Macaca mulatta: one gene and its partner. The protein of the gene in region 2 interacts with the protein of the main gene of each other region in a pairwise test. Links are inferred from orthologs where the notes say so. Each region holds a gene or a part of one and is shown on either strand. Other genes may lie near its edges. The genes, in order: PLK1 and TANK.

Region 1 (3,784 bases), on a different chromosome or scaffold from region 2:
TGTGTTGGGGCCTGGGTGGGCCTGGGTCTTGGGGAGGCACGGCTGCAGCTGAGCCAGGGTTCTCTTGCTCTACCTACCCCCAGAAGCACCACTACAGGGAGCTCCCAGTTGAGGTGCAACAGGCACTTGGCCAAGTCCCTGACGGCTTCGTCCAGTACTTCACAAACCGCTTCCCACAGCTGCTCCTCCACACGCACCGAGTCATGAGGAGTTGCGCCTCTGAGAGCCTCTTCCTGCCCTACTACCCACCAGACTCAGAGGCCAGGGGGTCGTGCCCTGGGGCTGCAGGGAGGTGAGGTGGGCCGGAGGCCACACAAATGGTCTCCATGCTGGCTAGCTGAAGAGCTGAGCCTGTGGCTGGCCTCAGAATCAGAATCAGAAAAGACTGCCAGGCTGGGTGCAGTGGCTCACGCCTATAATACCAGCATTTTGGGAGGCTGAGGTGAGAGGATCACTTGAGCTCAGGAATTCCAGACCAGCCTGGCCAACATGGCAAGACCCCACCTCTACAAAACATTTGAAAAATTAGCCAGGCATGGTGGCGCACGCCTGTAGTCCCAGCTGCTTGGGAGGCTAAGGTGGGAGAATCGCTTGAGCCCAGGAGTTCCAGGCTGCAGAGAGCCAGGATCATGCCACTGCACTCCAGTCTGGTCCACAGACACTGTCACCCCCTACCCCCCACAAGACTGGCAGAGGCTGGGCAGCCTGGGGCTGATGAAGCAGAGATGTTCCCTGGATCCCAGGCCCTGGCACCCCTCAGGAAATACAAGAAAAAGAAGATTCACATCTGTTTAATGTGTATAAAGCCAAGGAAAGGACAGTTCCGAACTCAATAGAAATATTCTGTACAATTCATATGGTGGGGTTGAGGGGGAGGGGACGAGGCTGTAGAACCCACACCCGAACATGTACAAAAATAACTTACACAGCAACCCCCACCTGCAAGGATGATGCAGCTCTGCCCAGCCACCGGGGCTGGGGGGCACACTGCAGACATGGCACCGCAGGAGCCAACCAGTATGGGCCCCAGATGCTGGTGGGAGTGAGGAGGGCACCAGTCCGGAGGGGAGGGCAGCTATTAGGAGGCCTTGAGGCGGTTGCTGGCCGAGCGTGAGCTCAGCAGCTTGTCCACCATAGTGCGGGCATAGCGGAGCCGGCTGGCCAGCTCCTTGCAGCAGCCGTACTCCTCCAGGAGACTCAGGCGGTACGTGCGGAAGTCCCGCTTCTCATCGATGTAGGTCACGGCTGCCATCAGTGGGCACAAGATGAGCTTGGTGTGATCCTGCAAGAGAAGAGGGGCAGGGATTGCTGATCCCAGAGGCCAGTGTATGTTAGGGAGTAGAGGGAAGACACAACAGGTTATAGGTACCTGAGCCATTCACTCCATACTCAACTCACATGGGCCACTGCCAAGCACGTGGAGCCTACCCCAGCTCTCTCCTGCCCCTGGTGACATCCAGCTCACCTGGAAGAAGTTGATCTGCACGCTGCCATTGCTGAGGTGCAGGATGATGGCACTGCGGGTGCGGAACCAGGTCCGCAGGTAGGGCAGCCGGGCGAGCTCATCACCTTCACGCGGCGTGATGTTGGCACCTGCCTTCAGCAAATGCTCACTCATGTAATTGCGGAAATATTTAAGGAGGGTGATCTGGATGAAAAGTAAGTGAGGGGTTCCAGAATTAGAGTCTCGCCCTCCAGCACAGGTCCCACTCCCGCAATAGCCGGACGGCACTTACCTTCTTCATCAAGGAGTTGGGATGGGAACTCACGGTGAGGTAGGACTCGGTGCCGTCACGCTCTATGTACTGCAGGCTGTCACCATCGTTGTAGAGGATGAGGCGTGTTGAGTCATTGAAGAGCACCCCCACGCTGTTATCACAGAGCTGATACCCTAGGGATCAGTGGAGAGAGGTCTCAGAAAGGGGGAATAGAAAGTGGGGAGTGGGGCTGGGTGCGGTGGCAGATGCCTGTGATTCCAGCACTTTGGGAGGCTGAGGGGGGAGGATTGTTTGAGCCTAGGAGTTTGAGACCAGTCTGGGCAATGTAATGAGACCTCATCTCTACAAACTATTTTAAAAATTAGCTGAGCGTGATGGTGCATGCCTGTAGTCCCAGCTACTTAGGAGGCTGAGCCTGCAGCCAGGCATAAGCCTGGAAGTTTGAGGCTGTAGTGAGTCATGACTGTGCCACTGCACTCCAGCCTGGGCGACAGAGTAGGACCCTGTCTCTGGGCAGTGGGGGAAAAAGGCTGGGGAGTCGGGGAGCACTGGGAGCTGGAATTGGGAGGCCTGGGATGGAGAAAGGAGGGCACTAAGAGTACCTGGGAGCTCAAAAAGGCCAGAGCCTGTAACAACTGAAAAGGTCACCTGGCTGTGCCTGAGTCACCCACCTGGTTCTGGAAGAAACCTACCAAGGCCGTACTTGTCCGAATAGTCCACCCACTTGCTGACCCAGAAGATGGGGATGCAGGCAGGATCCTCAGCCTCCTCTAAGACAGAAACAGACAGACAATTGGTCAGGACCAGCCTCTTCTTCTCTGGTCCACACATGTGGCCCACACCAGGGAACAAGGAAGCCTGCTGGGCACACCACCTGGGCTCAGTTGAGAGGCCTAGGGCCCCAGAGAAGAGCAAAGCAGGGCCTCTGCTGCCAACAGGCTCAGACAAGCAGCAGCATAGACATCTCTACACAGAAAGTTTCAACACAGCGCACCAAGTTCCACTCACTCCTTCATTCCACTGACCCATTTACTGAAGGCCTACCGTGCCAGGCACTGTTGCAGGTACAGTGAGCAACAGACAAAACCCCAGCCTCCACAGAGCTTACACTGTGGTTGCAGGGGCAAAGACTAATCAAATTAAGTATGGGCAAAATATCAGTGACTTCTATCATGGTAAGAGTCAGAGACATCTAGTTTTCCAGTTTGGAGTAATTAGGAAACTGTGAAGACAGACGCCGGCTGCAAACACATTAAAATGTTATATTCAGTGCATGCAACAAACACCTTACTTTAAATCCAATCAAAGAAGAAGGACGTGTTGGACTATGTTGGGTGAGAAGTGTTATGGAAAACTATGCAGTGGGTAAGGGGATGCGAAGCACCAGCAGAGGGGCCAGGGAGATGCTCACGGAGGTGACACCGGAGCAGACACTTGAAGGAGGCCACAGTGTGAGCCATGTGGTGTCTGGAAGAAGTGCTTTCATGCCAGGGCCAGGGAGAAAGCCCTGAGGCTGCAGTACGTCTGGGTCTGTTATTTCAAGGGTCTTGAAGAAACAACAGGAACTTACTGAGCAAAAGAAACAGCGTGTGAAGGTGGCACATCGAGGTGCTAGAGTAAGAGACGGATCAGAAAAGAAGGCAGGAGCCACAGCAAGCAGGGCCTCGGATATCAGGAAATGGGGAAACCAATGGTCCTATGGAGACAGGGCCTGGACAAGTCACCAGTGCTTTGTTGGCCAAGGCTCCTCCTGCCTTCTCCAGATGCCCCAAGCAATCCTGCCCCGCCCAGGGCCCCGCAGTACCCACCTTGCCTGACCAGCCCGCGCTCCGAGGGCTTGGAGGCATTGACACTGTGCAGCTGCTGCAGCATGTCACTGAGGTGGCAGTCGACCACCTCACCTGTCTCTCGAACCACTGGTTCTTCCTTTTCCCGGGTACGCTCAGGCAGGGGGTTCTCCAAGCCTAGAAAGGTGACAAAAACAGGGGCGTTGGGAAGGGCATAGGACTCCCCTGCCACAGCTGAAACTCTTCCAAAAGAAAAATTCTCTTAGCTACCATTGCTTT
Region 2 (3,821 bases):
TGAAGCAACTGGTTGGAGAGGTTAATTCAAAGGCCACACAACTATAATAGTAAGTGGCAGATCTGCCACTGGAACCCAGGCGATCTAACTCTAGATTTGTGCTCTGAACCATTATGCTAAATTGAACATGTTGGTTTCTAGATATAGAGAGAAGTCCCCAAATTGACAGAAATGTGCTTTGAATTATTTTTCCAGCAGTTGATCTATCCCGGCTGTGAACAAAACGTGGAGAAATCAAACAGCTCTAAAAAAACAGATATTTTCTTTCAGCAAAGCTAGCTGGCATAAAACTCAGCCACATTAAAATAATCTGAGTTAATCTGCTCAAGCAGTGAGAGTTATATCTATTAAAAAAATTTAAACCTTAGATTTCTAATGCTACTAGAAATCTAAGCTGAGACAACTTAAAACTCAAATGAGATGCATGAAAGCACTTGTCATCCTGACACCATATTGAGAAACATGATCAGGTGAGCAAATAGCTTTTCTATTTTGTCTATTTTAAGAATACTTAGTTTTGCAAGGAAAAAGTAAAATGGGAAACATTTTTAGATTTCCAAATTTTAAATATAGGCTATCCATTTAGTTACTTCTCAGTATAATTATTTTGTATATTGACAAAAGAAAAAGACCTCATGATTTTTTGTCACCCTGCTCATGGATGTTTGTTACCCTTAATCCTATATTCTTCTTTCCTAATCTCTACTGAAATTGGACACTCCTTTATGAACCAAACAGTACTTTATTTGAAGCTATGGATAAACATACATTTTGTTTATCATTTCTCAAGTCTATTGCCATATGTAGATGAGTAGAAAAAACAAAGTAATAATAAAAAGGAAATGTAAAAATTCTACTAACTCAGTATTTTCAAATGAATCATCTGGTTATTTAAAAGCAAACATCAAACTTTAATACAAAATAACACAGGGACAATACACATACCTTTTCCCAGATATATTATGCAAATCATATTTGAAATAGTTCTTCTATATTTTTATACAGTATAGCATACATACTTGGAAACCATGAATAGGCATCTTTTCAAAAAATATTTTTTCCTTTCTCCTTTTGATATACTACTGTCAGAGCATAATATTTATTTTGGTTTCTCTTTGGACCCCAGCAAAACTTCACTAGAGTCTGTAGCACAAAATATTTTGAGAATAATATATTTATTATTTGTGACACTGTTAATATAAAGCATAAAAATAAAGCATCAGGAAGCAGTTTTAGTGGAGAAGAAATTGAAGTTAAACACTCAGTGTTCTAGTTGACAGATACATACTCAGATTTAGACCTGTGCAATTTAAAAATGGTCAAAGTATTAAGCCACTGATAATGAGGTAAGTTTTCTGTGTAACAAAGAATATATCACCATTACAATGCCTTGAAAAGATGTTGATGTTCAAAAAAGCATGTTTATGAATTCTAGGTACTACATCTCCATAGCTAGCATATTTTAAACAGAAATAATTCATTTACTTCAGAGGTACCTAGTGACTTTAGTCCATACAAAAGATCAATTTCTCATGAAAATGACAAAAATTCAGGTGAAGAAAAGAGTTGTTTTTGGGGAGGTGGGAGAAGGGAGAGAAAGAACCAAATTATATGTATTTACAAAGATTGTTTTGCTTCTGTAATACCACATTGTGTAACTTTTCTGAATATAAAATGGTAGTAGTAGCAAAAAGTGAATTTACACTATAAAATTATTTTAAATAGCCTAGATGTAAGAGCTGCAAGAAATGGAAAGTGATCTTTAATTAAAGGGGTGTTAGTCAGCAAGACTACATCTCTCAGAGTGAAAACTGTAAATCACATCCCTTGGGAATTGTCTGCAGAATAGCTCAAATCACAAGGGTAAAGGAGAATTTATCATTATAAATGATCAGTTTACCTTCCTTTTGTTTGCAGAAGTGTTTGGTTGCCAGACCTAATCCCTTGTATTTTGCTATTCATATAGAACTACTGAAGCAAATACCAGGAAGCCAGTCTGGGGTTTTAGGAAAGGGTGGAGCATTTATAAAACATACTATAACACATGTGTAAAACAAACGTTCCTTCTAAGTTGTATTTTATACTAAATGTATATTTTGTGCATTAAACAGGACTAGCACTCAGGAAATTTGAGTGTCACATTTTTATTCTTGAACCAAATGAGTTCAAAGAATTCTTGAGCCCAGGAGTTCAAGGCTGTAGTGCACCATCACGCCTATGAATAGCCACTGTACTCCAGTCTGGACAACATAGCAAGATCCTGTGTTTAATTAAAAAAAAGAAAAAAAAACCAGAAAAAAACATCTATCCATAGTGTATGTAATGAACTTTCAGGCAGAACTTACAAACAAACCTGATGTTATAATTTTACTTAGCTCATATAATATGGTAGTATGGCTTCAAGGTCGCTTATTCACATAAGAGTTAATGTTTAATAAGTCCCCCAAACAACAACTGAAAACTTTCAGGGATATAGTCAATATTTATTTTGTATTTTTTAAGGTGGGATTTCTCATTAAGATAATTAGTAATTATGTCTTTCAATTCAATCTATATAGTACCATATACAACAAAGAAAAAAAAACCAACAAATACATATGTAATGCACTACAGAACTTACACAGCATGTACACATTCAAATATACGTGGATGAGGGGTAAATTACAGATGCTACACAATTAATAGGCATTCAGGAATATTTTCACATTCAAAAAGAAATCAATTTCAATCAATCAAATCAATATTACTGTAAATTAAATTAAATCTTACCAGTTGCAGTGTCTGGTATATTAAGTTTGCTTAAGTGGTCTTTCTGTGCTTTTGCTAGCATGCATATTCTATGAAATTCTTCTTTCAGATCCCAGAAAGTCTTCTCTATACTACCCCTAAAAAATAAAAATCAACATTTTAAAATGTAAAGCTATAATTTCCAAGTTTTTAAAATAATCAAACTTATGTAGTACCATTTTATGTGCCACAAAATATTTAAAAGTTAAAAAAAAATTTTTAATTCCTAGACAATATCCCAAAAACCAGCTTGTGTTTGTAGAGGGCCAGGCACCAAGTAAGTGATAAATTAAAAGTTTTAATACATAAATATAGTATAGTCTAGCATATCTACTTATTCATATATACACTAATGCTGGCTGTCTTATTCTCACATTAGAAATTTCAATGCATTGACTTTTGTTCTCTGCAAACATCTTAAATAGAATATTAAATATTCCTCATTTTGGTAAAGTTCACATTAGGATCCATCCATATAAAGAAATATGGCCTTAACACTTGGTTTATTGAAATAGTAGAGCTTTAGAGAATTCAAGTTTTAGATCCAGCTCTGCTATTAACTGCATGACTTGTTTAGGTCATTTTTAACATGTAGGACTCTGGGGATGGTTACTTCCACTTATTCTAAAAGGCTATTTTTTTGCAATTGTTAAAGCTTAAAAATATATATATAAAATATATTTCAGTATTGAAAATTTTTAAGAGTTGGCAAAAAAAAGGATGTAGAACTACCTTTCATGGAGCAAAGGACTGCCAAGACTCCTTGCTGAAGTTTCTTTTCTAGGAGAAGAAACCTCTTGTCTTCTTACCTTAAAGATACAAAATGATTACTATTACTACTTTAAATTGCTTCCAAATTCAAATGAGATCAAGTAAAAAGAAAACACAAAGGAAAACTTATTTACCTTCCCTATTGAAAAATAACTTGAGACAGCTTATAGACCTATATGTAATATACAATTGATTTTTTTCTTTAAATGAGAAAAATCAATGAAAAAGGAAAATGAAGAAGGAAAGTCTGAAGAGATGAAATA

What was found.
Region 1: the proteins of TANK (region 2) and PLK1 interact in binary tests that used the Homo sapiens proteins (3 or more experiments, as listed by UniProt). The link is inferred for Macaca mulatta from reciprocal best matches to the Homo sapiens genes TANK and PLK1.

What each region holds. Positions count from the first base shown.
Region 1 is NC_133425.1:23,232,239-23,236,022, reverse strand, and holds the end of PLK1 (serine/threonine-protein kinase PLK1), read right to left. Parts: exon of another isoform or gene 3,683-3,784; coding exon 3,527-3,682; exon of another isoform or gene 2,489-3,526; coding exon 2,411-2,488; exon of another isoform or gene 1,892-2,410; coding exon 1,737-1,891; exon of another isoform or gene 1,649-1,736; coding exon 1,466-1,648; exon of another isoform or gene 1,283-1,465; coding exon 1,079-1,282; 3' UTR 776-1,078; downstream 1-775. Other genes in the region: ERN2 (serine/threonine-protein kinase/endoribonuclease IRE2), read left to right, coding at 84-296. UniProt on the Homo sapiens protein: Serine/threonine-protein kinase that performs several important functions throughout M phase of the cell cycle, including the regulation of centrosome maturation and spindle assembly, the removal of cohesins from chromosome arms, the inactivation of anaphase-promoting complex/cyclosome (APC/C) inhibitors, and the regulation of mitotic exit and cytokinesis.
Region 2 is NC_133417.1:66,034,603-66,038,423, reverse strand, and holds part of TANK (TRAF family member-associated NF-kappa-B activator), read right to left. Parts: intron 3,597-3,821; coding exon 3,520-3,596; intron 2,886-3,519; coding exon 2,770-2,885; intron 1-2,769.